Arabidopsis thaliana: one gene and its partners. The protein of the gene in region 1 purifies or fractionates together with the protein of each later gene. This does not show direct contact. Each region holds a gene or a part of one and is shown on either strand. Other genes may lie near its edges.

Evidence for each region.
Region 2: the proteins of GTB1 (region 1) and AT2G25355 fractionate together in Arabidopsis thaliana (co-fractionation; one large-scale study listed by BioGRID). This does not show direct contact.
Region 3: the proteins of GTB1 (region 1) and AT4G32175 fractionate together in Arabidopsis thaliana (co-fractionation; one large-scale study listed by BioGRID). This does not show direct contact.
Region 4: the proteins of GTB1 (region 1) and MCM3 fractionate together in Arabidopsis thaliana (co-fractionation; one large-scale study listed by BioGRID). This does not show direct contact.

The regions. Positions count from the first base shown.
Region 1 is NC_003070.9:24,309,097-24,316,294, forward strand, and holds the start of GTB1 (global transcription factor group B1), read right to left. Parts: upstream 5,544-7,198; 5' UTR 5,436-5,543; exon of another isoform or gene 5,363-5,435; intron 5,283-5,362; 5' UTR 5,232-5,282; coding exon 5,201-5,231; intron 5,077-5,200; coding exon 4,984-5,076; intron 4,773-4,983; coding exon of another isoform or gene 4,731-4,772; intron 4,469-4,730; coding exon 4,339-4,468; intron 4,101-4,338; coding exon 4,037-4,100; intron 3,933-4,036; coding exon 3,782-3,932; intron 3,704-3,781; coding exon 3,583-3,703; intron 3,500-3,582; coding exon 3,262-3,499; intron 3,164-3,261; coding exon 2,975-3,163; intron 2,901-2,974; coding exon 2,793-2,900; intron 2,701-2,792; coding exon 2,314-2,700; intron 2,241-2,313; coding exon 2,133-2,240; intron 2,027-2,132; coding exon 1,247-2,026; intron 865-1,246; coding exon 1-864. Other genes in the region: GLC (HXXXD-type acyl-transferase family protein), read left to right, coding at 6,779-7,198. UniProt on the Arabidopsis thaliana protein: Transcription elongation factor that enhances the transcription elongation by RNA polymerase II (RNAPII).
Region 2 is NC_003071.7:10,797,865-10,805,539, forward strand, and holds AT2G25355 (PNAS-3-like protein), read left to right. Parts: upstream 1-3,226; 5' UTR 3,227-3,526; coding exon 3,527-3,577; intron 3,578-3,669; coding exon 3,670-3,744; intron 3,745-3,985; coding exon 3,986-4,072; intron 4,073-4,268; coding exon 4,269-4,325; intron 4,326-4,669; coding exon 4,670-4,762; intron 4,763-5,073; coding exon 5,074-5,146; intron 5,147-5,265; coding exon 5,266-5,341; intron 5,342-5,430; coding exon 5,431-5,521; intron 5,522-5,604; coding exon 5,605-5,727; 3' UTR 5,728-5,858; downstream 5,859-7,675. Other genes in the region: AT2G25350 (Phox (PX) domain-containing protein), read left to right, coding at 1-106, 244-342, 460-546, 726-834, 964-1,724, 1,842-2,006, 2,127-2,369, 2,493-2,834; AT2G25360 (RING/U-box superfamily protein), read left to right, coding at 6,385-6,474, 6,641-7,365, 7,450-7,619.
Region 3 is NC_003075.7:15,532,297-15,539,286, forward strand, and holds AT4G32175 (PNAS-3-like protein), read left to right. Parts: upstream 1-3,137; 5' UTR 3,138-3,258; coding exon 3,259-3,309; intron 3,310-3,392; coding exon 3,393-3,467; intron 3,468-3,603; coding exon 3,604-3,690; intron 3,691-4,065; coding exon 4,066-4,122; intron 4,123-4,503; coding exon 4,504-4,596; intron 4,597-4,706; coding exon 4,707-4,779; intron 4,780-4,863; coding exon 4,864-4,939; intron 4,940-5,027; coding exon 5,028-5,241; 3' UTR 5,242-5,306; downstream 5,307-6,990. Other genes in the region: AT4G32160 (Phox (PX) domain-containing protein), read left to right, coding at 1-142, 333-596; CYP96A2 (cytochrome P450, family 96, subfamily A, polypeptide 2), read left to right, coding at 1,476-2,996; PANK2 (pantothenate kinase 2), read right to left, coding at 5,428-5,520, 5,605-5,676, 5,776-5,970, 6,050-6,133, 6,261-6,419, 6,513-6,659, 6,778-6,841, 6,912-6,990.
Region 4 is NC_003076.8:18,767,595-18,776,291, reverse strand, and holds MCM3 (Minichromosome maintenance (MCM2/3/5) family protein), read left to right. Parts: upstream 1-2,588; 5' UTR 2,589-2,685; coding exon 2,686-2,748; intron 2,749-2,843; coding exon 2,844-2,944; intron 2,945-3,132; coding exon 3,133-3,341; intron 3,342-3,440; coding exon 3,441-3,571; intron 3,572-3,663; coding exon 3,664-3,902; intron 3,903-3,976; coding exon 3,977-4,213; intron 4,214-4,314; coding exon 4,315-4,469; intron 4,470-4,582; coding exon 4,583-4,791; intron 4,792-4,875; coding exon 4,876-5,035; intron 5,036-5,121; coding exon 5,122-5,318; coding exon of another isoform or gene 5,319-5,330; exon of another isoform or gene 5,331-5,401; coding exon 5,402-5,461; exon of another isoform or gene 5,462-5,548; coding exon 5,549-5,638; coding exon of another isoform or gene 5,639-5,650; exon of another isoform or gene 5,651-5,730; coding exon 5,731-5,933; coding exon of another isoform or gene 5,934-5,937; exon of another isoform or gene 5,938-6,023; coding exon 6,024-6,243; intron 6,244-6,333; coding exon 6,334-6,390; 3' UTR 6,391-6,643; downstream 6,644-8,697. Other genes in the region: KASI (3-ketoacyl-acyl carrier protein synthase I), read left to right, coding at 1-127, 219-650, 920-1,093, 1,203-1,316, 1,416-1,565, 1,637-1,703, 1,786-1,853; AT5G46270 (Disease resistance protein (TIR-NBS-LRR class) family), read left to right, coding at 7,202-7,213, 7,430-7,908, 7,995-8,697.

The DNA of each region.
Region 1 (7,198 bases):
TTCTTCATCTGGACTTGGCTCTTTAAATGGTATCCGCCAATCCTGGAAACCACAACTTAATTCTCTTATGATATTGCTATAAGTTTCCTTCTTATTCTCCCGTTTCTTGCTGGCAAGATATTCATCAAGGACAACTTTTCTCAAAGAAGCTGGCCGATCTCTCACATGCTCAATAGCCATTTCTATCGCATCCTCATCATCATTTGAATCACCTCTGACATCCTCATCATATATATCTTTCGCCAATTCTTGAGCAAGACTATACGACTCTGGATGGATTCTGGTGTCATCCAATAAGTCAATAAATTGACTGCTACTAGCAGCCAGCCCACTTCTGCGGATGCGCAAGAAACCGGCAGCATTTACAAAAACCTTTTTACCAAGTCCATGCATTATCAGGTCCTTGCGGACAAAGATTGAACCAGCTCTTACAAGCGACCTCTGCAAGGATGCAGCTTTCCGAGGCCCAAGTCCAGAAATGAACTGTAAAGGAGAAAAGAACCAATCATGGCTAGCTGCCAAGTTAATATCGATTCCAACCTGGTTTGTAATGTCAACCATAACCTGCTCAACCATTCCATACTTCTCATCTAGCTGAAGAAAATTCTCCAAGGGATGAAGCTTCCAAGACAAAATTTCCCGACCTGGACCGCATAAAGTTGCCACCATTGCTAGTGGATTCTGGAGATAGCGTCCAAGAGCAACTGCACGTCTCACGTTCCCTGACTGCTGAGGTAGCTGTTCACCCGAGATTCGAGAATTTTCATATAGCCTAGGAAGTGATTCATCCACATAAACAATGCTTAAATCATCCATCCCATGTCCGACATCTCTAGGTTTTTCCTCCACCATCTGGAATATGACCTGATATATAGAATAAAGCATAACAAAATTTTACTATTCAAGAGGAGTAGTTATGAAAATTGAAACACAGCGATTAAGTTTTCACAAAGTGATATAAAAGCAGAAACTTAAGCTTATTTCATCAGATATATAACATTATCATTTTCGGTAAAGCAGTTGAAGTCTAAAAAGGTATAGCGAGTTTGAAAGTATTGATGAAAAACACACAAAATCCAGGTCTCTACAAAGTAGGCACTGAGGAACTAATTAAGTAAACCAGTGACCACAGTTATCCAGAACCATATGGATATAGGTCCTTTATCTCAAGATCAAACTCGGAACATGTACATTGCAATAGCATAAGTCAACGAACATAGTGTCATTATGGTATATGAAGTCTTACCTCATAAATATCATCCTTCAGACGAGTACAAGACAAATTGACAGCTCCTAAAGCCACAACATGCGGTTGGTGGTCCATCATAAACTTTAAAACACGATCCTGGTCACTCTTTTTACGTTGCTGGTCGTTAACATTTTGAGATCGCGATGTAAGGGATCCAGCATAAAGCACGTCAAGCACCTCACCTGATGAGTCCAGCATCACAAATGTATTTGGTGGCTTCCCAGGTCCCCAACAACATGCCATGACCCTCGGTGCAGCTTCCTCATCTAAATTAATGTCCATTTCTTTCTTTTGGTATGGCCCTGCAGACACCTTGTTCCACAAAGCCTGTCCATACTCTGAAAGCAACCGACTCTTCGCTCTGCTAGTTAGCAAGGATCTTGCTTCTTTCTCCATTGATGGCAAAAGAAAAGCATGAAGTGCATCCTCCAATATCAACTTTCTTTGCTCATTCCAGAGTTGAGCATACTTACTAACACCAACACTTAGATAGTGTTCATTGCAGTCGCTAATTAGCCTATTCATGTAATTCTCAGGCAGCTTGAAGGTTACTTGAAGAAGTTTCTCCTCTTCTCCCTTCTGAATGAGAAGCCATTGTGCACCCTCAAACTTGCTCAATGGCTTTTCACGCAACCACTTAATCCCAGAAAACTGATGGAACGAATCAATTACTGTATTTCCATCTGCTGTTGGACTTGTTGAGACCACTGCATTCTCCATATAAATGCCACGGACATACTTTTTGACTGATGGCTCGCAACTTATCTCAACTGCAGCCTAACAAGGAAAAATGGGATATCTCCGCATTAGTGATTAGGGAAGTCCTTCTGATATTAAACCCAGCTAAGCAATTCAAAAAATAGTATTATTGCAGAGTATATACCATATGCCGTGCACCTTTCAGAACTGCCAGAGAATTTTCAAACATTGCGCACACAAAGTTTTTAGCCATCTCCTCTGGTGTTTCCTTTGCATCCTCAAGCTCATCAACCTGCAACTCATTTAGCGTCAGAACTGCCATTCCAGTACAACATGCAAATCAAACAATATAAAAGCATACCGACCAGTTTTTCTAGGGACAATGCAAGTCCCAGTTGCTCAGCACTATACCCAAATTTGTTTGCAACCTCCCAGAGCCCTGCTTTACTGCAGATGCTATATTGTGATTTCCTTTTCGGCCTCTTATACTGCCCTTCATCAACACCAATTTCACCGGGAGGAAAATGCAAGTTGAACTTGGAATCTACATCATCAACTTCTCTTTCTGTTTCTGCAACTTTAAGAGACTTAATGACTGATTCAAAAAGATACTGATTTAGATTAAGTCTTGTTTCATCATAGACCCTCCTAGACTCTTCTTCGTAACGTTTTGTATAGTAACCATGCAACGCCATTTTCCTTTTTCGAAGAAGGAGCCACTTCTTATCCAAGTCATGAATCATCCAGAAGACCTGCATTGGAAAATAGTATAGAATCCACCAAATTTCCTCTGACAATAAATGTTAACCTGAGCACTTGTTGTTTATCCAAGATAATTGCTTACCTTATGCCACTTGGTCTCAGGTTTCTTGCCTTGATTGGCGCCATCAAAATCACCAGTGTCCAACAAGCTCCGGCATTGCTCCTTTCGGTACATAGCTATAAACGGTATCTAGAAGAGACAGAAAACATTAGCAAGCTAATCAATGAATCAAAGAAAATCCAACGAGAGAATGAATCCAAAACCTCTAATTTCTGCACATGATGTAGCTCCAAAAATTTTGCGATGTCATCCTTATTAACCGAGAAACCCCGCCCATCAAAAGTTCCATCAGATTCTCTAAGTTGGGAAGCAAGTTGAGCATATATCCAATTGCTTTCTTCTTCAATGCTAATTTCATCTACAGGAGGGCTTCCGGTGCTTTCTTCAGATATCTGTCAAAGTTTACAAGATATCTTTACATCTATCCTTGAACACCAAAGAAAACATAGACCACAAGTATACATAGAGAAAACTAAAGAAGATAATGCACCTGCATTCTCTCAGGAATATCAAGCTGGCGGATTTCATCATCATTCCCTGTCATATATTTCTCAGAAAGAACAGTTGGTTCAAACTCATCTTCGAGCCTTCTTTCCATCCTTTGATTAGATGCCAAACCCTTTTTGCGAATTGTTAATAATTCGTCAACATCACCAAATATTTCATTAGCATCTCGCATAGCAGTAATATCTGATCCCTGCCTATATTTCTTTTTCTTCGAGTTGCCCCTGAAAAGTAAGTTGATTAGAATCAGAAAATGTACATGACATAAGTGATATGTTAGGGCACAAAAAAGACAGAAAAAAAATACCTCTTAGGAGGACCATGCTCATCATCTTCATCTACAATAAAATCTGCCATTTCATCCTCGCTCCCAACTACATCTTCTTCCACAACTAAGTCTTCCTCATCACCTACATCATCAGGTGGATCTAGTAGACACAAAATGTACATAGTCAACTATGTGCCAACAGTCAACATAATAGTATCAGAAGGCACAGAGAACCTACCATCAACATCAACATCATCAAACAGCCTGTCTTTGATCTTATCCTCAGCACTTCTCCTAGTTCCACCTCTACTATCAAACTCATCATCGGATGATTCTCCCTGGCCATTTCCCTGTTCCCTTTGAGCTTTCTTCAACCGCTTATACTGCCTCTGTCATGGTTCAAGAAAAAAGTCAAATGTATTAGTACTGCACATATATTTTTAGTGTATCTACAAAATCCTGATGTATTGTTATATACACAAATATGACTAACCTTTTTGAATTTGACGTTGTTATCTTGTAGAAGCAAATAATCATCTTCATCAAGACCTTCGTCCCTATTAAAATTATCATAAATGGAAGGTTAGTCAGAAAGAGAACAGACCTGCTATAGTTCGTCTAATGGTAACTTACATACTCATCACAAACAATGTATGAAAATCACAAATAAAGACTGCTGAGAATTAAGGGAACATTTCTTCAAAAGTATCATGCATGTCAACACTAACATTTAGTTTTTCATATGTTAGAAAAGGATAAAATCTAAGAGAATGAGTAAGGATATAAAATATTCACTTTTTCTTTCGTTTCTTCTTCTTTTTCTGCCTCTCCTCATCGCTATCTTTCCTTTCTTCGTCTTCTTCCTCTTCTTCCTCTTCGTCTTCATCATTCACTATGAACCCATCATTCTCATACTCATTCCCAACTACAAAACAGATATACGGATCCCACATCATGGAACAAAAATAGCCTGAATCTAAGTTAAAAAGCCTAGAAAGAAAAAGAAAAAAAAATACTCAAACCCAAGGTGAGAGAAATGTGTGCAGCTCAAAACTTGCAGAAACCATGAAGTCTAAAAAGGAACAAATCAAGCAACCGTATGAAACAGAGAATATAGAAACAAGAAGTGGTAGAAGGAGAGACTTTGCAGCAGATAAGTAAACATCTAAGAAACAAGATGCATTCACTTTTTTTTTTTTTTTGGTTGCCAAATCCAGACACTGCATCTTCTAATGGAGCAAATGCAGCAGAATTTCTCCAAATGAATCGATTTTAAGACAAAGAACTGCATGCGCTTCAGTACTAAACCAAACCATACCACTAATTTCCTTCGATGCAATCAGACTCTACAGCTTCCAGATTTAGGGTGGTAAGCAAAAAGAAACGAAAGACGACACATTTCTCACTGGGAGAAGTCAAAATCAAGGAAAAAACTTATACCGTCATCATCATCTTCTTCATCATCGTTTTCATCATGCTCAGCTGGATCTCCATGAACTGGCTCTCCGTCGTCATCCTCAAGCTCATGATCCTCTACGCAAAAGAGAAAAGGATTCAATTTTTTCATACAAATCAGAAGAAATAAACAAAACCCTAGTATTATTACGGCGTTTCACACAGAAAAAAATTAGGGTTTGCGACGAAGCGATTAAGGTACCTTCATCGTCAGAGATTGCGTTCCTCGCCATGTTTATCTCAACAAATTAGAAGTACGATAACGCAGAAATTAGCCCTGCAAACTGCAAAAAAAAACGAAGAGATTGTGATTATGATTTCTGATTTTGCGAAGAGAAAGGGGGAAGAAGGTTCTCGCGATTACTAGGGTTCTTCGAAAAGAGAACCCAGAAGGAGCTAGAGAAGAGAAATGGGTTTGGTAAAGGAAGAAGCTTTACCAGTGTGAATTTTTCATAAGCGAAAGGCGACGAAGAACTGATAAACGAAGAAGAAGACGGAGACGATGAAATTACAAGTTTATACTGACAGATTTGCCTCAATTTTTTCTCTGCGTTTTAGAAATATTTTTTTTTTAATAATGTTTTTAAAAATTATTATACTTTTTGAAGAAATGTAAAGAAAAAAAAGTCGAGACTAAAAACAAAACAAAGTTTATTCAACTTATCTTATAATTAGAGTGGAGAATATTTAATTCGATAATTCGAAATATAAGAAAATAGACATACATTAATAATTAATAAAAAAACGTTACATCGGCTAAAATGTTTAAACAATTATTTAAATTTATATGATAAATAAAATTAAAATAAATCTAAATCGGATTCAAATTTAAAAGTTTGTCTATAGATTAATTTAATTTTTAGTTAAACAATTTAATTTTATCAAAAATATAAAATTTTAAACTGTGAAAAAGTTTTAAATCTTATAATTGATATATTTAAAATTAAATAACAAGTTGATAATAATATAAACATTTGGACATATATAAAAATAAATATAACACTAGACAAATTATATTGTAGGACAAATTTTACACATGAGGCCCTAAAAACTTTTTATATTAGGTGGCCTAAAACAAATGTTTCGGCTTTTTTATGAACGGGCCGGGCTTGGATTCGGCCATATTTTGAGTTCATGCCTTTTAATATGGCAAGAAAAAGGTTAGAAACTAGACTAATTGTAGATTGTAAGTTTGTAACCGTAATGAGATACTGCAAATGGGTAAAAATCGTATTATTCCATAAACCACAAATGGAGAAGTCAAAGTTTGGCAAATATCACAACAAAAAGGTTGATATATCACATGCATATTATGTAGCTACACCGACATATCAAAGTTCTCCTATCAAATTTTAAAAAACATAAATCACCAACCCTACTCACACCCACCAATGCAGCCCATCATTCTTCCCAAATCTATAAACACAACACAATAATACAACAGTGACAATTTTAGCTTTTAAAGAATAACGTTTTCATGTGACTGGATAAAAACGACGTCTACGTAGCACGAAACTGCTTTGTTTGTTCTTGTAACGATCCGTACCATATCTTTTTTTATTAAAAAGTCACATTTATTATGGGATCAATAATTTACTCTCCATGGATTATTTCATACTATAATGTACACGTACATTATCATAAAGCCAAGATAAAATTAAAAACGCCTTTTACTACGTGTTAGTCTATATAATATAGATTAAGTCTGAAACCCAAATCACAAACTTCACTCAAAACCTAATTAACTTAGAGAGAAAGAGAGAGAGAGAAGGGTTGCAAAATGGGTTCTTCGTACCAAGAATCTCCACCGTTGCTTCTTGAAGATCTTAAGGTTACGATCAAAGAATCAACACTCATTTTCCCATCTGAAGAAACCAGCGAGAGAAAATCCATGTTCTTATCCAACGTCGACCAAATTCTCAACTTTGACGTTCAAACAGTTCATTTCTTCCGACCTAACAAGGAGTTTCCACCGGAGATGGTCTCGGAGAAGCTGAGAAAGGCGTTGGTGAAACTCATGGACGCTTATGAGTTCTTGGCCGGGAGACTCCGCGTGGATCCTAGCTCTGGACGGCTTGATGTTGACTGTAACGGTGCTGGAGCTGGCTTTGTGACGGCGGCGAGTGACTACACGTTGGAGGAACTTGGAGATTTGGTTTATCCAAATCCAGCTTTTGCTCAATTGGTTACAAGTCAGCTT
Region 2 (7,675 bases), on another chromosome or scaffold:
TAGAGATACAATTTGGCCTCATGATTTTCGAACTGGATGGAGTTATTGTGTCACTATACCATCGTGGACACTTCTTTCAAAATCGAAAAATTCAGATCCTATAGTGGTAAATAAGTTTCGATCTCTCTCTCTACACAGTGTAGATTTTTCTATAGCTAGTTGTTGTTCTTATCGAAGTTGTGTATTTTCGTGAACTATTCCAAGGAACTCTTGCTCGATATATGTGACATTCTTGAGGTACAGTTTTACAGGGTTCAGGTAAGTGTGCAATCTCCAGAAGGTGTTAGCACAATGCGAGGAATTCTGAGGAGATTTAATGATTTTGTAAAGCTTTTAGCTGATGTAAGATTCTCTCAATCTTTCTCAACTCAATGATATTCAACATGATTTGTAGTTGTTTTTGGTCAGTGTGATTCAAACAAGTTAACTGCAATGTGTTTTATGGCATATGATTTACAGCTCAAAAGAGCATTTCCTAGGAAAAGTTTTCCATCAGCTCCTCCTAAAGGATTTTTGCGTGTCAAAAGTAGAGATATGTTAGAAGAGGTATGCATTCTCTTGTGGAGCTATGTTGTTCTTTTCAAATTTTCTCTCTTTCACGCTTTCCTGCTTTTGTGGTTCCTCAATCAAGAACATTTTGACGCAGGTTTCATGTAGAAGTATATGTAAAGTACTGTACTCAAGAATTATATTACACTCATTTTAAAGATGTGGTGTTGTTGCAGAGAAGGTGCTCTCTGGAGGATTGGATGACGAAGTTGTTATCTGATATAGAATTGGCAAGAAGTGTTGTAGTTGCATCCTTCCTCGAACTAGAAGCTACTGCTAGGTCTGGTATGAGCCCATTATAGTATTACAGTTACCGTTTGATAAAGATTCTTAAAGGCAGTTAGTTAATCTATGTTTAAGTAAATGTGCTTAGTCTTTCACTATAATTTAAAGTTGAATTTTTTTTTGTTCCAGCATGCCAAGTTGTAGATCAGAATGCTTCCGATTCCAATGATGATGGAAATAGCACAAGCTTGTCGTCTCTAGTTCACCCAAATTCTGGTGGCAGTTCTTTGCTCTCATCTGACTATGGCAGCGATACTGCTTATGAAACATCTGAGCTCGGATCAGCAAGTTTAGGTCAGGATGATGTTTCTGAAACTGATACTGGAGATCTAACTTTGGATGAAGATCTGACAAATCCAACAGAGAAGCTTGTAAAGTTTAGCATGTCCAACATTGACGAGGGACTGAGTATGAGTCAAACTATTATCGAGCAGCTAGAAGATTTTCCTAAGCACAGAGTCCATTTAGGATATGCCAATGATATCACAGAGACGAATTCGTACAATGGAAAAGCTTCTAAAGGTGTATTTCGAGCAAACAACGACTTACGGTGTCGCTCTGAATCAGAAACTAGTCACTCAGTGATGCATGATCGAAAGCTTTCTCTTGAGAGCGCTGACGGGGTTTCGTTACTAGCCGGTGAGACATCAACCTCTAGTATCTTGAGCTCCATTGTACATAGCCAGCTGGATGTTAATCATGATATATCTGTTGGTAACCTGGAGATACCGGGTAATGGACGAATAGTTCTCCCGCTGAAAATGCATAGTAAATTAAATAGGATTCTATTAACTATGAATGAGAGACTTCTCAATTCAAAAACAGACATGGAGGATCTTATAGCGAGACTAAATCAAGAGACAGCGGTGAAGGAATATCTGAACAGAAAGGTACATGATTGAAAATAATAGTACATCTGTTTTCAAGTTTGTTGGTAATGAAATCTGCGCTTCTTCCTTTACTCTTCATGCGAATGTCATATATGTAATCTTGGTTTTCCTGTTCAGGTTGATGATCTGGAAGTGGAACTTGAAACTACTAAACAGAGAAACAAAGAGAATTTGGAGCAAGCTTTGATGACCGAGAGACAGAGTGTTACCAAGATGCAGTGGGATATGGAAGAACTCAGGCAAAAAACTTTTGAGATGGAACTGAAGTTAAAGTCAAAAGAGGTATTGAAATTTGAAATAGTTCCATCTCAATCACATTCTTTCCACAATTAAGCAAGTTCACATCGAGCGAGTAATTTATATCTAGCAAAGTAACTTACTGACACCTGCAAACTAATACAGGATGGGAGTTCAGATTCTAAGACGTCAGGAAACTCAACAATCTCTGAGAGCCATGAGCTGTTACAAGAAATGGATGCCACAAAACAGCAACTGGAAGATCTTTCTAGACGGTATGTTGAACTGGAGGCAAAATCAAAGGCAGACATAAAAGTGCTTGTCAGAGAGGTCAAATCCCTGAGACGTTCACATATGGAAATGGAAAAGGAACTGACTCGATCGCTGACAGAGAAGTCTGACACTGAGGTAAATCTTAAGCTTGTAAATAAAAAGCATTATATTATTGCTTGCATCATCCGCTTGTGGTAAATGTATATGATCCTACAGAAAGAACATCAAAACATACTGAAACATGTTTAATTTTTTCAGAAACTCCTCCAACAGGAAAGGATAATAGTCGAGAACACGCTAGAAGCAAGAAGAAGGCTGTATAGTGACTGTGAAATTCTCCACGACAGGCTTAAAGTGAACAACACAAACTTGTCAATGGATGAGTCCAGTAACAACAGAGAAGACTTATCTGAAGTATCAAATGCCTTGCAAGATCAGATTGAGGTAAGCTATTGGTGCATCTCCTTTAATATCTGTAGCAAGAAAAATCGTATTCAAATGTTTACATTCGATAACCATGGCTCAAAATCGCCAAGCTGGATTCCTCGTTTTAAATTTGAAAGTGGCATATTTTCAGGCGCAACTGCTGTTAGGGTTTGATGAGACTGCTTCTGAGGATGAGCTGAGGAAGATAATGGCAGATATGTATGAGGACTGAGGAGAATATCAAATTGAGAAAACATTTGAATTCCGCAATGCAGGTTAAGAGCTCTGTGAAAGAGGAAAACGAAAAACGCAGAAGGTGAAGAGCTTATAGAATAGATATACCATGTACAGAGAAAAGTAGAGCAGAAAGTTGGTTAGTGACGTAAATCCCTTATTTTGAATATGCGAGTCAGATTCTTCTTTATGTAATTAATTGATGTATATGCACACACATGTCTACATCAGATCACCTAATCCATTGTAAAATTCGAAACCATCAGTGTCATTGTTTCTTGTTCACCAAAAACAACTACCATCCATCACTCATGGTCCACAGAGCAGTCGTTGAAAATCAGTGAAAGAAGTGTCATTTTGTCCCAAAAAAAAAGGAAGGACGAAGGAGACTTTTTAGTTGACCAAATCATATGGATCTACTAAACCGAAATAAACCACTCATAACCATTATAGTAAATTACTTGGTTCGGAGTTTTTAATTTCCGATCGTCTTCAACATCACCAAAGCAAAAAACTTTAGGGTTTTAGTGTTTTTTAGGGTTCTTCTTTCTCTCTACCTCTCAGTTCTGCTTTTGCTCTGTCTCCCTTCATTGGATAAATCAATTGGTGTTGTTAGCGAAGAAATAAGAAAGATGGGTACTGAAGTTTCTACCTCGCCGACAAGCCTCATTGATCAGACTGTTGTGCGTATTTTCTACTAAAACCTCTGCTTCTTTGATTATCGTTTTAGATTGGGATTACATTGAAAGATTAAGTTTTGTGAGATGGGTTTCAGGTTCCAGGTGATGTTGTTCTCGATTTATCAAACATGACTAACCAAACAATCAAACTCGGCAGTGGTCTCCGTCAGGTTTTTAACTTTCTCAAAATCACTTGTTCCAAATCTTCGATCATTTTTTTGGAGTTTGAAATTTGTTGTGTTGAGTGTATGAATGAATTAATGAATGTTTTGCTCATTATTAAACAAGTTATGTTGAATTTTGGATCTTGCATTGGCATTTGAGGAATAAACTTAATTTGGAATCTACAGTTTGCTTTTTGTTGGGCTTGCAAGGCTAGAAGATTGACATATGATTTTGAGGTTTTTTCAGGATAATGAGGTGATATCTGTTATGAGAGCTGGGAAGTTGAGGTACTCTAAGCCAAATAAGTATTGGGTGGAAAGTTCTCATAAAAGGGTGAGAACTAATTAGTTTCTTGCTGGTTGTATTTTGCAATAAATTGGTACCTTTTTCCTGATATCTCCTAGCTCTACTAGTTATTCGATTGTTCATCTGCGCTTAACTTGTCGAAAAAGTGGTGGTTTTGCTCTCTAGTTTGAAGAATTACTCCATGTTACTCGATTTTGACTCTGTTATTATGTTTTTTTTGCAGTATGTACCTCGTCCTGAGGATCATGTTCTTGGCATTGTGGTAGATTGTAAAGGAGAAGTAAGTACTCTAAAGACGATCCTTAAATTTTTGTTAGAGATCCTTTTCCCTTGGACCCTCTGAATCAAGCATTTTTTCTCTGTATACAGTTCATTTAATGCAAAAATCATGTATAAAGAATATTGATTTCGGTTGTGCTCTATCATTATCCAACTTCTATCATTGCTCAGCTTGTTTGTTAGTTACATGTATATGTTAATAAATACTTGAGATCATGGATAAAGAAAACGGCATAAGCCTTTATTTAGAGTGTTGCCCCTAGAGTTCTCAGCCAAAGTCATGTTGCATGTAACAAAGTAGATCATAATATTTTGAAAATCGTTTTGACACATGTTTCATTGCAGAACTATTGGATAGACATTAAAGGACCACAATTGGCTCTTTTGCCTGTGCTTGCATTTGAAGGAGCAAACAGAAGAAATTATCCCAAGTTTGAGGCAAGTACCTTCTGAATATACTTCTTCAATCTGAACCATCATCAAAATAGTCTCTAGCTGGTAACTGCATTCAGTTGTTTGAGATGTTAGTATTGCCATTACAGTGTATTGAGAATTTCCCTGGAAATTACAATGGCTTGTGTGTGATATTGAAAGGATCCAGTACTTCATTGGTTTGTTTATGAGCATAATAGGCACTTTTACTTCGTCTGGAGTTGAGCTCATCAACTCTATTTCAAGTGGATTCGCTGTATTAAGTGATAACATAGTGATCACGTGTTTTTGGGAGTTGTGACAATTTGTTGATACAGGTAAGCACTCTGCTTTATACTCGGGTTGTGAAGACAAACACAGGAATGAACCCGGAGCTGTCATGTGTAGACGGTTAGTCCATCCATTCTTTTTTCTCACAAAGTTTAAAAAGTTAAATCATTTCCTTGTTTCTCCGCATTAATTGTTTAGACTAAGCAATTGCTGACTAGAATTGTTGGACAATGTAATAGAAAGTGGAAAGGCTGCAGGATTTGGTCCCTTAAAAGATGGTTTCATGTTTGAAACTTCAACTGGTTTATCTAGAATGTGAGTTTCACTCTTATTCCTTTATTTTTCTTCTAGATGAAGTGGCCTCTTCTCGACTTTTTCTCACTCTTACACTTTGTTCTTATTAGGTTGTTGAGTTCACCAACTTGCCCGGTCCTTGAAGCTCTTGGAAAGAAACTCTCGTTTGAGACTGCGTTTGGCTTAAATGGGAGATGTTGGGTAAGAAAAACAGTGATTGCTTCTTAAGAATCCAAACAATGCAACTGGAAATCGCATGGTTAATATCTTCTGTCTGGTTTCAGGTGCATGCGGCTGCTCCTCGTATAGTGATTATCGTCGCCAATGCGTTGATGAATTCTGAAACTTTAAGCGGGACACAACAGAGAATCATGGTAGAGAAATTGCTGGAGAAAATTTCAGACTGAAAAGTGTGTTGTATGCTTAACAGTATCACTACTTTATAAAAGAAACGTTTTAATTCGCATCTCTTTTTTTAGTATGTAGACTACACTCATATGTTTCTCTTTGAGATAAAAACAAACCAAGATTAAAATTTAAAAGAAACAACATGATTCGTCTAACGATAAATTGATAAGTTTTGGGAGATGGATTAGAGGAACTAGGGTTTGGCAATATTAATTGAAAAATCAATCGATACCAATACAATAACAGTTACAAACATTACGGTGCCTTCATAGCAAAGCAATTAATAAGAATTTATTTGACAACTTCTCTCTTATATATAAGTCTTCAGATTTTCCTACTTGAAACCAAAACGACATGGAGAGACGCGATCAAGACTTGAGTTACTAAAAACGGCGACTAGATTCTACCATAACCGGAGATTTCCCAAACCCTAAAGGCGAGGGTTGTTCTACAGTCGTCCTATCCGACTCTGCTGTGAAGAAGTTTTCAGACAATGTCGTCTACAGATTGTACACCAAGGGTTTGGTGGTGGAAGGTAAGGAAAAGACCGTGAAGTCTGGATTAGAGTTGCGATTTGCGATGAGAAGGAGAATTTGTTGTATGAGATTAAAGAATCACTAAGCGACACTAAGATTAGCTGCATAGAAGTAGAGAGCATGGCACTGATTCGTGGGTTAAGAGAATCCTTCGATTTGGGGATCAGACAAGTCGTGGTTTATTGCGATGACCAACTGCTTTACCAATATGTAAGTGTTTTCTCTTCTTTGTTATTGCTTTAGTTTAGTTCTTGAAGTGTGGAAATAGTTAGAGGCCAGATTGGTGATTTTGCATGTTAGAATATACTTTGAATTCTTTGGAATGATGATATAATGTCTTGGTTTTAATGAGAGTGAATTCTGATTTACATTACAGATTGTTGGTCGAGGGAAGATTAAGAAGAAGGTTGTCCATCTTGTGGACGAATTTCAACTTCTTCTAGAAGAGATGACCTATACTGACGCTGATTTGATTGCCCTTAACGATGTTAATTTTGCTTTTAAACTTGCAAGAGAAGCCATAGTTTCAAGGGACGATGTGAAGGCAGAGATATGTAGCATTTGTTTTGAAGAAACCGAGGGCGAGCGCATGTTCTTTACCACGGAAAAATGCGTTCACCGTCATTGCTTTCCTTGTGTGAAACAGTATGTGGAAGTGAAGCTCCTAAGCGGAACTGTGCCCACATGCCTTGATGATGGATGCAAGTTTAAGCTCACCCTTGAAAGCTGTAGCAAGGTTTTGACATTAGAGCTGATTGAGATGTGGAAACAAAAGATGAAAGAGGACTCGATTCCCGCTGCAGAGAGAATCTATTGCCCATATCCAAACTGCTCAATGCTAATGTCCAAAACCGAGCTTTCTAGTGAATCCGACCTATCCAATGACCGTTCTTGTGTCAAATGTTGTGGACTCTTCTGCATTGATTGCAAAGTACCATCACATTCTGATTTGTCGTGTGCTGAGTACAAAAAACTTCACCATGACCCTCTAGTTGATGAGTTGAAGCTAAAGTCTCTAGCAAAGGACAAAAAATGGCGTCAGTGTAAAATGTGTAGGCACATGATCGAACTTTCTCATGCCTGCAACCACATGACTTGCAGGTATATATTTATTTAACTCGATTATTCTACATCATTCGAGTACTTTCATTTCGTAATGTTAAACTTTGTGCATTCATTGTGTAGATGTGGATATCAGTTTTGTTACCAATGTGAGGTTGAATGGAAGAATGACCAAAAGACTTGCTCTTCTGGTTGCCTACTAACGGGACATGGTTATTATGATGATTATGATTATAATGAACCGGAATATGATTTTGAAGTAGATACATGTAATTACTATTCTGATGAAGAAGGTCGTCGTTGGCCTAGCTATGAAGAATATATTGATCAGCAAATGGCAAATCCAAAA
Region 3 (6,990 bases), on another chromosome or scaffold:
TGACTGCAGAATTCTCCACGACCGGCTTAAAGAGTACAACTTAAATTTGTCAATGGATGGAAACGGTAACTTTGTCGACGACTCAACTACAATATCAGACGTTTTGCGTTTACTGTCAATATCTGATGATCAAATTGAGGAGGTATTGCTGCATCACTGCTTTATTGCCATTTAAAATCAGTTTCCTCTAATAAGAGTTACTTTTCACGATATGTCCATCAGGATGAAGTTATTTATTACTTATTAGTGTAGGATAGTTAGGTTTCCGCTGCACTAATGAAAACTGTAACGTTGTGCATTTTACAAGTTTTAACGATTTAGACCATTTTCAGGCTCAGCTACTTTCTGGGTTTGACGAAAATGCTGCTGCTGAAGACATCGATAAAACTCTCAGCATGGATACTGAAACAAGAATTATGGAGGACGAGCTGAGGAAGATACTGGCAAACATTTTTGTTGAGAATGCGAAATTGAGAAAACAGGTGAACTCTGCAATGCTCCGTGCTCTCCAAAAAGACGTAAAGACCACTGAAGATGTGAATGAGGAAAATAGTGATGAGAAAGATGAAGCATCAAGAGAAACATTGAAGAGATAGGTAATAATAATAATAGTCGCTTTGACCTGAGAATAGACTGCCATTTTTTTTTCTCTATAAGCAAAGGACTGGTCGCTTTATAATACAAAACGGTTGGTCTCTTGGAGGAGCAAATTAGTTGAAGCTGAGTGTTGTGTAATCGATATATATACACACACGTGACACCACCCTTTTGAGAGTACATAAGGCAAAAAGATGTGTATTAAGTATGTTTGTTGTATAATTGTATTGCACTCTGTTGCATATATTTATTGTGATCCGAACTCAGTTCTTGCAAACAAAGTTGGAATTGTAAGGATTTAGGTTATACAAATTGTGTCAATTGATCATCATTGTCCTCAAGTATAAAGCATGTTTCTTTCTTGAAGCAGAATTTGTGGCTTCTTTCTCCAGGTATTTCAGACATTTCTTTATAGCAAGCAATTTTGAGGGAAGAAAACTGAAACTAGATAGAGAATATTAAATGCTAAAAACCTTTATCATCATCTTTGGACAGGATGAAGAAGTTAATGACATTTCCTTTAGCGCTCATAGAGCACACTCAAAAGTCTATGTGCGTGAATCCAGCTCATTCTCTAATGGTTTCAATAAGTTTTGATTAGTTGATAAAGTTACAAGGGGCAATTATAACAGTTTTCAAATTATTGAAACACTTAGGTGTATTATCACAAAAATAAAAAGTTAGGTGTCATTGGCAATTTAATACAAGTTTCTAATTTGATGATATACATGCATTAAACGTGCTTTGCAGTTTGTGCATATAACGAAATTTAGTGTGTATTTTAAAAAGCATCTCCTTACTTGTGCCCTGAAGTGTATGCTTATAAATTTAGTTCTCATTGTGTCAGCAAACTGTGTGTTATCAATTGCCTTACTCCAATGGCTTCAATAAGCTTACTTCAAGTTTCCGTAGCTATCCTTTGCTTTCTCATCCTTCATTACTTTCTCTTCAAGAAACCTCATGGCCGGTACCCTAGGAACTGGCCGGTTCTCCGGATGCTACCCGCTATGCTCAAGGCGCTTCACCGAATCTACGACTACAGCGTGAAGATTCTCGAAACCTCTGACTTGACCTTTCCATTCAAAGGACCGCGGTTCACAGGAATGGATATGTTGCTCACGGTTGATCCAGCTAACATTCATCATATAATGAGCTCAAATTTCTCAAACTACATCAAAGGACCGGAGTTCCAAGATGTTTTTGATGTGTTAGGAGACAGTTTCATCACCACGGACTCGGAGCTATGGAAGAATATGAGGAAATCTTATCAAGCCATGCTCCATAGTCAAGAGTTTCAAAGGTTTTCAATGAGTACCATGACAAGTAAACTCAAGTACGGTCTTGTTCCCCTTCTTAATCATTTTGCTGAGGAAGGAACAACTCTTGACTTGCAAAGCGTCTTCGGGAGGTTCACTTTCGATACAATTTTCATCCTTGTAACTGGTTCTGATCCTAGATCTCTCTCCATTGAAATGCCTGAAGACGAATTTGCTAAAGCTCTCGACGATGTTGGAGAAGGGATTCTTTATAGGCATTTTAAACCAAGGTTCTTGTGGAAGCTGCAAAACTGGATAGGATTCGGACAAGAGAAGAAGCTCACTGAAGCTAATGCAACTTTTGACCGCGTGTGTGCCAAATACATATCAGCCAAGAGAGAAGAGATTAAAAGATCACAAGGGACTTCCAATGGAGGAAGTCAGGATCTTTTAACTTCCTTCATAAAGCTAGACACGACCAAGTACAAGCTCTTGAATCCGAGTGACGATAAGTTCCTTAGAGACAACATCTTAGCTTTCATTCTAGCGGGAAGAGACACAACAGCCACCGCTCTCTCTTGGTTCTTCTGGCTTCTCTCTGAAAATCCACATGTGGTAGCCAAGATTCATCAAGAGATCAACATCAACACTGATCTATCAAGAACAGGAAATAGCCAAGAGAATGTAGACAAGTTGGTGTATTTACATGGTGCGTTGTGTGAAGCAATGAGACTCTACCCACCAGTTTCCTTCGGACGCAAGTCTCCAATCAAATCAGATGTGCTTCCAAGTGGCCATAAAGTTGATGCAAACTCTAAGATTATTATCTGTCTTTATGCATTGGGGAGGATGCGAGCGGTTTGGGGAGAAGATGCATCGCAGTTCAAGCCAGAGAGATGGATTTCGGAGAATGGAGGCATAAAACATGAGCCTTCCTTCAAGTTTTTGTCGTTTAATGCCGGTCCAAGAACTTGTCTAGGTAAACATCTAGCTATGACTCAAATGAAGATAGTGGCAGTGGAGATATTACGAAACTACGACATTAAGGTTCTCCAAGGACAGAAGATTGTGCCAGCTCTTGGTTTTATATTGTCAATGAAACATGGTCTTCAAATCACTGTTACTAAGAGATGTTCTGCTTGAAATTATTCATGTATTAAATAAAAAAATCATTTTGGTTTGGTTTTGATTTGGTTCTTAGTTTTTTTTTTTAGTTTTACGGTTTAAGTAAACCGAAATCCTAATATTGACTGGTTCGGTATAGTTTTGGTTCAAAATTTGCGTGCAAAAAAAAGAAGAGACTGTGCAGTGTTGTTCCTTTCTGGGTTCTCATCGTCGTCAAGGAACAAGCTTTAACAGAGTTTAACATATATTAGGGTTCTTATCTCCAAAACCCACCTCACTCATGGCTGCCAAAGTTTCTGTCTCTCCCACAAGCCTCTTAAATCAGATTGTGGTCCGTATATCTCTAAAAAGTTGGCTTTTTTATGATTTCGATTCGATTTGGTTACAATGAAGCATGGTGTTTTCAATTTTTAGGTTCCAGGTGATGTTGTTCTTGATTTGTCAAACATGAATAACCAAACAATCAAGCTCGGAAGTGGCCTTCTTCAGGTTTCATCTTCTTCTCTTTCTTATGTGTTGTTTGAATCCTAACAATTATTCCAGTGGGCACTTGATTTGTGATATACAATTGCAACTAAAAAGGAATTGTAGATTGACATGTGTTTGTTTTTTTGGCTTATTTTAGGATAATGATGCTATCTCTGCCATGAGAGCTGGCAAATTAAGTTACTCCAAGCCTAATAAGTATTGGCTCGAAAGTTCTCATAAACGGGTGAGCTCAGTGGTCTTACTAATCTTCCCTTTCTGGTTGCTTCTCTATTGAGCTTCTTGTGGATTATAACTGTGTCATCTGCTCGGATACTAGGTCCACTTGATTAATCATGAGTAGAAAAGTAACAAATAACCTGGCACAATTGCATCATGAAGAATTGAAGATTTGCCTTTTGTAGCATTTTGACAATTTGATGCTTTTGTGGATCATTCTTGCTAGTTTTCTCCCTAGTTATTTGATCATATACATCTGGCTTGATAAGACAATTTACCATTTTTGGTTTTCAAAACTCTAGTAGAATATTGTTTTGTTAATTATCTATGTAAGTCTCGTTCTCTTTGTTGCTGACTCTGTTATTATGTTTTTTTTTTGCAGTATATACCTCGCCCTGATGATCATGTTCTTGGAATCGTGGTCGATTCTAGGGCAGATGTAAGTCCTTTGAAATCATTGCTTGTATAGATTCTTGTGTTGTTTTTGGATCCCTCTCAGACTGGTCATCTCTGAAAGCATTTTATTATACTTTAGTTGTCAAATACGATACAAATATATGTTTGTCAGTTTCCGCGACTTCAGTCCTCATTTCTCTGAGCCAATAAAGGTGAACTTGTTTGTTGATGGTCTTGGATCAGTAAATAAATAGGTGGGAGTATTGAAGTTATGGTCTAAAATCAGAAGAAAACTGATACCATTATTGGACAAACAAATGTTAATTGACTTTTAAATTATCAGCTGCAGTTAAGCTTTCTTGCATGAACTAACATCGCCTTAGTAAGTACTGAATTGTTTCTTTTACTCATCATGTCATTGCAGAATTTTTGGGTGGACATTAAAGGACCTCAATTAGCACTTTTGCCAGTTCTTGCATTCGAAGGAGGAACACGAAGAAATATTCCCAAGTTTGAGGCATGTACATTCTGATGACTCAGGAAGCTCTCTTGAATTCTCATTTGGGATATGACATTCTCTATGAATTGATTGTTTCTGGAATGTTCAAATTTTTGTGTACTAAACAGGTAGGCACTCTGCTTTATCTCCGGGTTGTCAAGACAAACATAGGAATGAATCCGGAGCTGTCTTGTACCGAGGGTAAGTTAAAAGCTTTGGAGGCTAAAACAGTGCTGCTTCTCTTAATCCCTTTTAAACTAATTGTCTCTTGTTTCTATGTATTAGCTAGTGGGAAAGCTGCATTATTTGGACCCTTGAGAGATGGTTTCATGTTTGAAACTTCAACTGGTCTTTCAAGAATGTGAGATATACTTCCTCATAAAAAATGTCTCCTTATACTTTATCTATCTTCTTTCGCCATTACAACTTTACTTTCTCATCTCTTATAGGCTGTTGAATTCACCAACGCGCCCGGTCATTGAGGCTCTTGGAAAGAAACTCTCGTTCGAGATAGCTGTGGGCTTAAATGGCAGAGTTTGGGTAAATGCGACAGCTCCACGTATAGTCATTATCGTGGCCAATGCAATAATGAACTCGGAATCTCTAAGTGGGACTCAGCAGAGAATCATGGTTGAGAAATTGCTCGCGATAATTTCAGACTAAACGTTATTGTTCTTGAAATGTAACTGAACCCTCATGATGCTCTTTATAGCAAGTGATTTTGATTCATTCAAATACAATTTTATACAGTAAAAGTGTAGTCTAAATAAAAATACATATGCCACATGACGAATGCTTAATCTGTATACAACAGTAGTCTAAAGGTTGAAGAAATGATACATAACATTGTTAAAGCGAGGGAGGCTCGTATCTGCATACACAATCATATATGTTTCCTTTTATCAACTTCTCAGCCAATCTCTGATTTTTAACCATTGCTAGCTGCCAAAAAGGAAGAGAAGGTTTCAGCCAAAAGTTTCAATAACAGTTCTAGAGCTGAAATTTTCTGTCAAGTGAGGTTTAAACCTTGAGAGCCTCGCATTGGAATTGAGCGTTGAAGTTGGTGTGAAGTGCTCTTCCCATACCTTCCAAGACAACCTGCAATATTGTTAAACATCAAATAAAGAACAAAGCTTCTCTTTTTTGATGTGTTTGAAGTTTATGTCAGGTAGAAAACAGAGAAGGTTTTGTAGATACAAGATCAGCGTCTTTGGCAGCGGCTGCAAGCTCAGAGCTGACTTGTCTGAGGTCGATACAAGGACTTCCACATCCATTTTCAACAACCATCAATGGTGCTGACGTTGAATCCTTCTTTGATCCATCCCCTGGATTTACCATCGCATCCACAAGTAAGCCTCCCATTTCTGCCGCTCTCCTCAAGATGTCACAGTGCTTCAAGAGTAAAGACCGAACAAAAGAGTTAGTTACATGAAAGAACATCATAAACACTGCACAGAATCGAAAGTTAAACCTTAGCAGCCCCAGCGACTATATCAGGCAGTTCCATAGCGGTCACGTCGTTAAGAGCAGGAAGAGAGTTTGCCACTAGAACAACCTGGGGAATCATAATAACATTTTGTTTAGTGTTTCCTCAACTAATTTCACAATGAAATCATTTGGTCTGTGCATTTGATTTTGTGAAGAGAAGATTACTATAGGAAGAGCTAGAGAGAGACACGTACTTCAGTCCCTCGACGGAGAAACTCTCGAGCAAGAGGAAGCATCCCAAGAATGACATCTGCTCCCGAGTTATCAACAAAAAGTAATGCTCTTTTATGTCGATGAGGCTGCTTACCTCCAGATCCAAGCATCCTTTCTTTGAAAGCATCAAAATCGTCTACCTGATTTTACGGACCAAAAAAGATTTCCAGCTTCAAATTAACAGTTAGGAAAAAGTAACCTCAGCGGGGAAAAAGGGTGGTCTTGTCTCTCACCCTCCACGGTCTCTGCATCTTGTTGCGACTCATTCTGTATATTTCAATAATGGTTCCTTTGTGATATAGATCCACACATGCTCGAGATCCCCAGTCAAATATGTTTGCAGCAAGAACACCTTCTATAAGTGTAAGCAACCTTGCCTCCTGAAAAATCCGAGCACAATTGAAACACCAAGTAAGAAAAGTTGTCTCATGTATAGCACTGAAACGTTTAGTAGCAAACCATAAACCTACAAAGAGAGGAAGGTTAAAGGTCACAGACCTCGCTCATCGAATCAAGCTCCTCAAGTAAATCAGGTAAAACAGCAAGTGATGCCTCGTTCTCCCTATCAATTTCGAAGAAAGAGAGAGCATAAGAGCAACTCAAAGCAGGGGAGAGATAAGACTATCTTTTACCTTTGCTTGATGCTTCTATAGGCATCAACAAACTGGAATTCTCTTAAGCATTCTTCCCTAAGTTCCAAGAGATTTGCCA
Region 4 (8,697 bases), on another chromosome or scaffold:
GTTTAGCTCTGAAGGTTATATTGATGGCAAGAATGAGCGTAGGCTTGATGATTGTTTGAAATATTGCATTGTTGCTGGTAAAAAAGCTCTTGAAAGTGCCAATCTTGGTGGTGATAAGCTTAACACGGTAACATTTGAATTGAAATTGATCATAAAGTTTTGATTTTGAAGAGTTTAGGAGTCAAAGTTTTGATTTTTGGTTATTGGGTTTGTTGCAGATTGATAAGAGGAAAGCTGGAGTACTAGTTGGGACTGGAATGGGAGGTTTAACTGTGTTTTCAGAAGGTGTTCAGAATTTGATTGAGAAGGGTCATAGGAGGATTAGTCCATTTTTTATACCTTATGCTATAACAAATATGGGTTCTGCTTTGTTGGCGATTGATCTTGGTCTTATGGGTCCTAACTATTCGATTTCAACTGCTTGTGCTACTTCGAATTACTGCTTTTACGCTGCTGCGAATCACATTCGTCGTGGTGAAGCTGATATGATGATTGCTGGTGGGACTGAGGCTGCTATTATTCCTATTGGGTTGGGAGGTTTTGTTGCTTGTAGGGCATTGTCCCAGAGAAATGATGACCCTCAAACTGCTTCCAGGCCGTGGGATAAAGCAAGAGATGGGTTTGTTATGGGTGAAGGAGCTGGTGTTCTGGTATGTTTCACAAATTCTTAATCTCTCATTGATACTATGAATCTACATACATTTGGCTTGCTCTGTTTTGAATTGTATATAAGAGCCTGTTTTGGTCTTAGTTTATAGAATCTGATGAAACTTGTGTTCCCTAGTCTATTAGCTCTGGAAGTTTCCTTGCACTTGAATTGTACTACATTTTCAAAGTTGGTTTATCTCACCATGAGATTGGCTCATACATGTGACATTTTGTTTTGGAGAGACCCACTAATTGTTGTATGCCCTAATAGGTGATGGAAAGCTTGGAACATGCAATGAAACGTGGTGCTCCAATTGTAGCAGAATATCTTGGAGGTGCTGTTAATTGTGATGCTCACCATATGACTGATCCAAGAGCTGATGGTCTTGGGGTTTCTTCATGCATTGAAAGATGCCTGGAAGATGCTGGTGTATCACCTGAGGAGGTAAAAAACACAAACTTTTCATGCTTCCTAAGTTTTAAGGCTATCTGAAACAAATTTCTTCATTAGATTCGTGTTACTTCCCTACTTATATTCATTCCACGTTTTTCAGGTAAATTACATCAATGCACATGCAACTTCCACTCTTGCTGGTGATCTTGCTGAGATTAATGCCATTAAAAAGGTATTCAAGAGCACTTCAGGGATCAAAATCAACGCCACCAAGGTTCGTCCCCAATGCTCTATGATTGAGTGTTCTTCTTCTCCTCTATTTCAATGTATTTGTTTGCTTTGCATTTCCTGTGAATGACAGTTTCTGTTACAGTCTATGATAGGTCACTGCCTCGGTGCAGCTGGAGGTCTAGAAGCCATCGCCACCGTGAAGGCTATCAACACTGGATGGCTGCATCCTTCCATCAACCAATTTGTACGTATAACAGGAAGTCAAGAAAAGGCTTCTTTGATTCCGCTTTCAGTTTGAACTGTTGCAAGATTTGAACTTGGTCATTGTATTAGACTCTCACACTCTTTGTTTTCTCATTGTAGAACCCAGAACAAGCTGTGGACTTTGACACGGTCCCAAACGAGAAGAAGCAACACGAGGTTGATGTTGGTAAGTGACAAACATGACCGCCTTCTCATTGGATTAAACTGGCAACAGTTTCACTGATTAATGTCTTTCTGTTTTGCTGCAGCCATATCAAACTCGTTCGGGTTCGGTGGACACAACTCGGTAGTCGCCTTCTCTGCCTTCAAACCCTGATTTCTTCATACCTTTTAGATTCTCTGCCCTATCGGTTACTATCATCATCCATCACCACCACTTGCAGCTTCTTGGTTCACAAGTTGGAGCTCTTCCTCTGGCCTTTTGCGGTTCTTTCATTCCCCGTTTCTTACGGTTGCTGAGATTTCAGATTTTGTTTGTTCTCTCTCTTGTCTGCGGAATGTTGTGTATCTTAGTTCGTTCCATATTTGCGTAATTTATAAAAACAGAAACTGAGAGAATCTTGTAGTAACGGTGTTATTGTCAGAATAATCCAATTAGGGGATTCTCATCTTTTATTTCTCAACAATTCTTGTCGTGTTTTTACATTCGAAGAAATTAGATTTATACTGAATTTTTTTTCAGTTATACATATGTTGTGATACATCCGAAAATGTTCTCAAATCACACAGGTTTATTTTGGTTTTCATATATACATTTTTCGGTTTACTGGCTTGAAGGCAGTAGCAAAAGTTAAACCGAATTTACAATGAATTGATTTGGTATGTCTGGTTTTTGGTTTAGAATCTGGGTGTATTATACCGCCTTGAGGAAATCAAACGCGCCAAACAAGCGCGTAGACGTAAGTCCAAAATTGTACCGGCCCAAATTTGGTTAATCAAAAAGCACGTAGACGAAAGGCCCAACTAATATCGGCCCAAAATGACCCTTCCCGCCAAAAAGGGTACAGGTTATCTCACGAAATCCCGCCATAAGGAGAAGATCCGCCCTTTATGCCTCTCGAAATCGGAAATCGAAAATCTCTAATCAGTTTTTTTTTTTTAAGTAGAAGAAGAAAAGTTCTTACGAAGAACCCAGATTTTGTTAAGAAATGGATGTGCCAGAGGAGACGAGGCTTCGCCACAAGCGAGATTTTATCCAGTTCCTCGATAGTGTAAGTCGATTTCTATCACTTTTCTCACCAGACATTTCTCGAGCTTCTGTTCTTATCTAATTTGAAAAATTGGATTTTTTTTACGGATTGTGTAGATGTATATGGAGGAAATCAAGGCTTTGGTACATCAAAAGCGTCACCGTCTCATTATTAATATCTCTGACATTCACCACCACTTCAGGGAAGTTGCCTCTAGGTTCGTCATCTTCTCAATTTGTCTTCCTCGAATTTTTAATCGGTTCTTTAGTATAAGGTTATGAATTTACGGCAGATTTTAGGGTTTTGTTAGATTCAGTGAGGTTAATTTGGGGATTTTTAAGGATTCACTACAATTGTCATATGTTTTGTGACCTTAAAGTTGATTGCTTTGGTTTTTTTGGATAGGATACTGAAGAATCCAAATGAGTATATGCAGTCATTTTGTGACGCAGCCACTGAAGCTACTCGTGCTATTGACCCTAAATACTTGAAGGAAGGAGAGCTTGTCCTTGTTGGTTTTGAAGGTTATTTTGTTTCTCGCGTTGTTACTCCTAGAGAGCTTCTCTCTGATTTTATTGGATCTATGGTCTGTGTTGAGGGCATTGTCACCAAATGTAAGCTCATCATTTTCACTCTATTCCTCTGCTTTTCTTCTGTTTCCTTTGTGTTTTACGTAGAAGATTTTGAACCTCTGACACATGCTTTGCTTTCAGGCTCTCTTGTGAGGCCAAAGGTTGTTAAAAGCGTTCACTTTTGTCCATCAACCGGTGAATTTACCAATCGAGATTATCGAGACATAACATCTCACGCTGGTTTACCCACTGGCTCTGTCTATCCCACAAGGGTAATTACATGTTTTTTGTTTTCGTTTTGTTCATTTACCTGTACTGCTGGAAGATTTGCCTCTTACTGAAGATTGAGTTTTTTTTTGTTCAGGATGATAAGGGAAACTTATTGGTGACTGAGTATGGGCTGTGCAAATACAAAGATCACCAGACCTTGTCAATTCAAGAAGTGCCTGAAAATGCTGCTCCTGGTCAGCTTCCACGAAGCGTTGATGTCATTGCTGAGGATGACCTTGTTGACTCATGCAAGCCAGGAGATCGAGTATCTGTTTTCGGTATTTACAAAGCTCTTCCTGGAAAAAGCAAGGGTAGTGTAAATGGAGTCTTTAGGTGCGTTTTCTTACACATCTGTTAGTTCAAGATGTTTTCACTCTGATAGTCTTGACCGAGTTCTTTCTGTGTAGGACTATCCTCATAGCCAATAATATCGCTCTGCTCAATAAAGAAGCAAATGCACCTATATACACTAAGCAAGACCTAGATAACATTAAAAATATTGCACGAAGAGATGATGCATTTGATCTCCTTGCTCGTTCCTTAGCACCTTCTATTTATGGGCACGCTTGGATAAAGAAAGCAGTAGTTTTACTGATGCTTGGTGGTGTTGAAAAGAACCTGAAGAACGGAACCCACTTGAGGGGGTAAGTCTTGCTTGAAAACAGATTTCAGATTCGACTCATTGGATACTTTTTGTCTAACTCATTTTTCTTTCTTCACTTGAAAACAAATCTTGTGCTTTCAGAGACATCAACATGATGATGGTTGGTGATCCATCTGTTGCCAAATCTCAACTTCTGAGAGCGATAATGAATATTGCACCTTTGGCTATATCAACCACAGGCCGTGGTTCTTCCGGTGTTGGGTTAACTGCTGCTGTGACTTCTGACCAAGAAACAGGTAAAAAGCACACAAAAGCGTTTCCACATTTTTTTATCAAATGCTAAAATCAAAATTTGAAGGAAGGTCAAAAGTGCTATTTCTCATTAAAATCAAATTCTCATTTTCATCAGGGGAACGAAGACTAGAAGCTGGTGCAATGGTCCTCGCTGATAAAGGTATCGTGTGCATTGACGAGTTTGATAAGATGAATGATCAGGACCGAGTTGCTATACACGAAGTGATGGAGCAACAGACTGTAACAATTGCAAAAGCCGGTATCCATGCATCACTGAATGCTAGATGCAGTGTGGTTGCAGCTGCAAATCCCATATACGGAACTGTAAGTTCTCACCGAAGTTTTCCTAATCTACTTACTCTACTGACTAGTATTTTTTTGTCCTAATACCTACTCTTGCTCCTGCAGTATGACAGATCACTGACTCCAACAAAGAACATTGGACTTCCAGATTCGCTGCTTTCTCGTTTTGATCTACTGTTTATTGTGTTGGATCAAATGGATGCTGGTATCGACAGCATGATTTCAGAACATGTCTTGCGCATGCATCGTTACAAGAACGATAGAGGTAGGAAACAAATCATGCTTCTATGTTTTACTAAACATTTCACAACCCATGTCTTGAAACGCATCTGACTTTTGAGTGAACCATAGGTGAGGCAGGGCCAGATGGGAGCTTGCCTTACGCGAGAGAAGACAATGCTGAGAGTGAAATGTTTGTTAAGTATAACCAAACACTACATGGGAAGAAGAAAAGAGGCCAAACACATGATAAAACCCTTACGATTAAGTTCTTGAAGAAGTACATTCATTACGCCAAGCACCGTATTACACCAAAGCTCACTGATGAAGTGAGACAGTGAACTCAAATATATAAATTTTTATGTATCTGATAATCTCTTCCACTAAATCTCTTTTGTTATTAAATTTGCAGGCATCGGAACGTATTGCAGAAGCATATGCAGATCTCAGAAATGCAGGTTCCGATACTAAGGTAATTTATTTCATAAAATAACATTGGACACTGTATCTTTTTCGTCTTGGGAACTTGTATTTGACACAACCATCGAAATCTCTGCAGACTGGAGGTACGCTTCCGATAACAGCCAGAACTCTAGAGACAATAATTCGTCTTGCTACGGCACATGCCAAAATGAAGTTGAGTAGCGAGGTAACAATCTAACTCAAATCTTCTGTTTCCCCACCTGGTCGTGAATATGTTCTATTCAGATTCTTTCTAAAGTGATAACTTTATTTTGAAAGGTTACTAAAGCTGATGCAGAGGCTGCCTTGAAGCTTATGAACTTTGCAATATATCATCAAGAATTAACTGAGATGGATGATCGTGAGCAAGAAGAACGTCAAAGGGAACAAGCTGAACAAGAAAGAACACCAAGTGGACGTAGAGGCAACCAACGCAGGAATAATGAAGATGGAGCAGAGAATGACACTGCAAATGTCGACAGGTAAACTAATTTGATCTCCTCCATGGAAACCTATATCACAGCTTTCTCAACCCTTATACTTTTTTCTTTCTCTTTTGCTGGTCCATTCAGTGAAACAGCAGATCCAATGGAAGTAGATGAACCTTCTGTAGAGCAATTCAGCGGCACGGTCTCTGCAGCAAGGATTGAAACCTTTGAGCGAGTGTTTGGGCAGCACATGAGGACACACAGGCTCGATGACATCTCTATTGCAGATATAGAGACTGTTGTCAACAACAATGGGGTTGGAGCATCTCGTTACTCTGCAGATGAGATTATGGCTCTCTTAGAGGTAATTCACAAATTAAGAGACAAGCTTTCTCATTCTTTAACTTTTTATACAATATCTTCATAACTTTACTCTATTGTGGATTTTATGCAGAAACTGCAAGATGATAACAAAGTGATGATCAGCGATGGCAAAGTTCATATCATTTGATCATATGAAGAAATCAATATTGATTGCATCATCATCATCATATTAGAACTCAAAAATAGTGTAGTAGTAAACTCTTGGAAACCAAAATATCATTTTGTAAAATCTTTATTCATACGTTATGTTTTTTGCATTTACTAGTGAAGTAAAACTGATGATAAAATGCTTAAAAAAACGCATCTGATTATAAAATTTGGAATTTATAACGAAAAGCACAATCCGAGAATAAAATACTTTCATATTTATCCTATAATTTCTTGAGCTGTTTATGCCAAATTTTATACATATGTAATCGACATCAAGATTATAGTGTATATGTTGTTTTAACCCAATGGTAAGAATAGAGTTGTGCCATATATAAGCCAACTTCAAAACCCTAATAATCACTACCTTGGAACTCTCTCGTCTAAAAGATCCATGTTTTTCCATTTGGTCTCTATTACTTTTTTTTTTTTTTTCCAAAACATGTTTGCTTTGTCCATGATGGATCCTATACGTTTCTAAAATTGTACATATAATCAGGTTAAATTCCACAAAGACGGATTGAAATCAGTTTTGGTATACAGAGTAATACAACAAAATCTATTTTTTTTTTTGTTGCCAAATAACAAAATCTATTTTGGTAGGTTACTGCACACGTTTCTCTATCAACCCTAGTCAAAACAATTGAGTTACTAAATAAACTTACGTAGTTAGGCCATACATGTCTCTGATTCAGACCAGAGCTTCTCAGAAATGTTAAGGCCATGAGCAAGAGAAACTTGTCTCCACTCTAAGAATTCTAAATTCTTAAAGTAATCATAAAGTGAGACGTATGTGTAGTAATGTAAGGGGATAAGACATTAGAGGCTATGAAACATTTGCTTATGACCTTGTACAAAAGATGATTAAGACATCAAATTGGAAATATCCGTCAAGTTGTGTCTGAAACAATAGTGAAACTGATTAGTGAAGACTTTTGTGGCCGTGTTTAATATTTTTATATAATTAAATCACCAAGACGTACGATTACAATCTTAATCTCCAAAGTCTTTGTTCATAGTTTCCTCCTCTCATTCTCTCTATGGCTTCTTCATCTTCTTCTCGAAACTGGTTATATGATGTTTTCTTGAGCTTCAGAGGGGGAGACGTCCGCGTAACATTCCGTAGCCACTTTCTCAAAGAGCTTGATCGGAAACTGATCACTGCATTCAGAGACAATGAGATCGAGAGAAGCCACTCTCTCTGGCCCGATCTTGAACAAGCCATCAAGGATTCCAGAATCGCAGTGGTCATTTTCTCCAAAAACTACGCTTCATCGAGCTGGTGTCTTAACGAGTTGCTGGAGATTGTGAATTGCAATGATAAAATTGTCATACCAGTTTTCTACGGAGTGGATCCTTCCCAAGTGAGGCATCAAATCGGTGACTTTGGAAAGATCTTTGAAAAGACTTGCAAGAGACAAACAGAGCAAGTGAAAAACCAATGGAAGAAAGCGTTGACTGATGTAGCTAATATGCTTGGATTTGATTCTGCGACATGGTATGGTTTTTATACTAACTCATTATTAGATACATCTTGAGATAAAATTATGTCATATTCTTTAAAATTGTCCTTAACCTTATTAGGGATGACGAAGCAAAAATGATTGAAGAAATAGCCAATGATGTTTTGGCTAAACTGCTTTTAACTACACCCAAGGACTTTGAAAATTTTGTTGGCATCGAAGATCATATTGCAAATATGAGTGTATTGTTGAAATTGGAAGCTGAGGAAGTGAGAATGGTTGGTATATGGGGTTCCTCGGGGATTGGTAAGACTACCATTGCAAGAGCTCTGTTTAACCAACTTTCTCGGCATTTCCCAGTTAGCAAATTCATAGACAGAGCTTTTGTATATAAGAGTAGAGAAATTTTTAGTAGAGCCAATCCGGACGACCACAACATGAAGTTACATTTACAAGAGAAACTCCTCTCTGAAATTCTGAGGATGCCAGACATAAAGATCGACCACCTAGGTGTACTAGGAGAGAGGCTACAACACCAAAAAGTTCTTATTATCGTTGATGATTTGGATGACCAAGTGATCTTAGATTCATTGGTGGGTCAAACTCAATGGTTTGGAAGTGGGAGCAGAATCATTGCGGTTACAAATAATAAGCATTTCTTAAGGGCTCATGAGATTGATCATATTTATGAAGTTAGTCTCCCAACTCAGCAACACGCTCTTGCAATGTTATGTCAATCTGCTTTTAGGAAAAAATCTCCACCAGAAGGTTTTGAGATGCTTGTAGTTCAAGTTGCAAGACATGTGGATAGTCTTCCTTTGGGT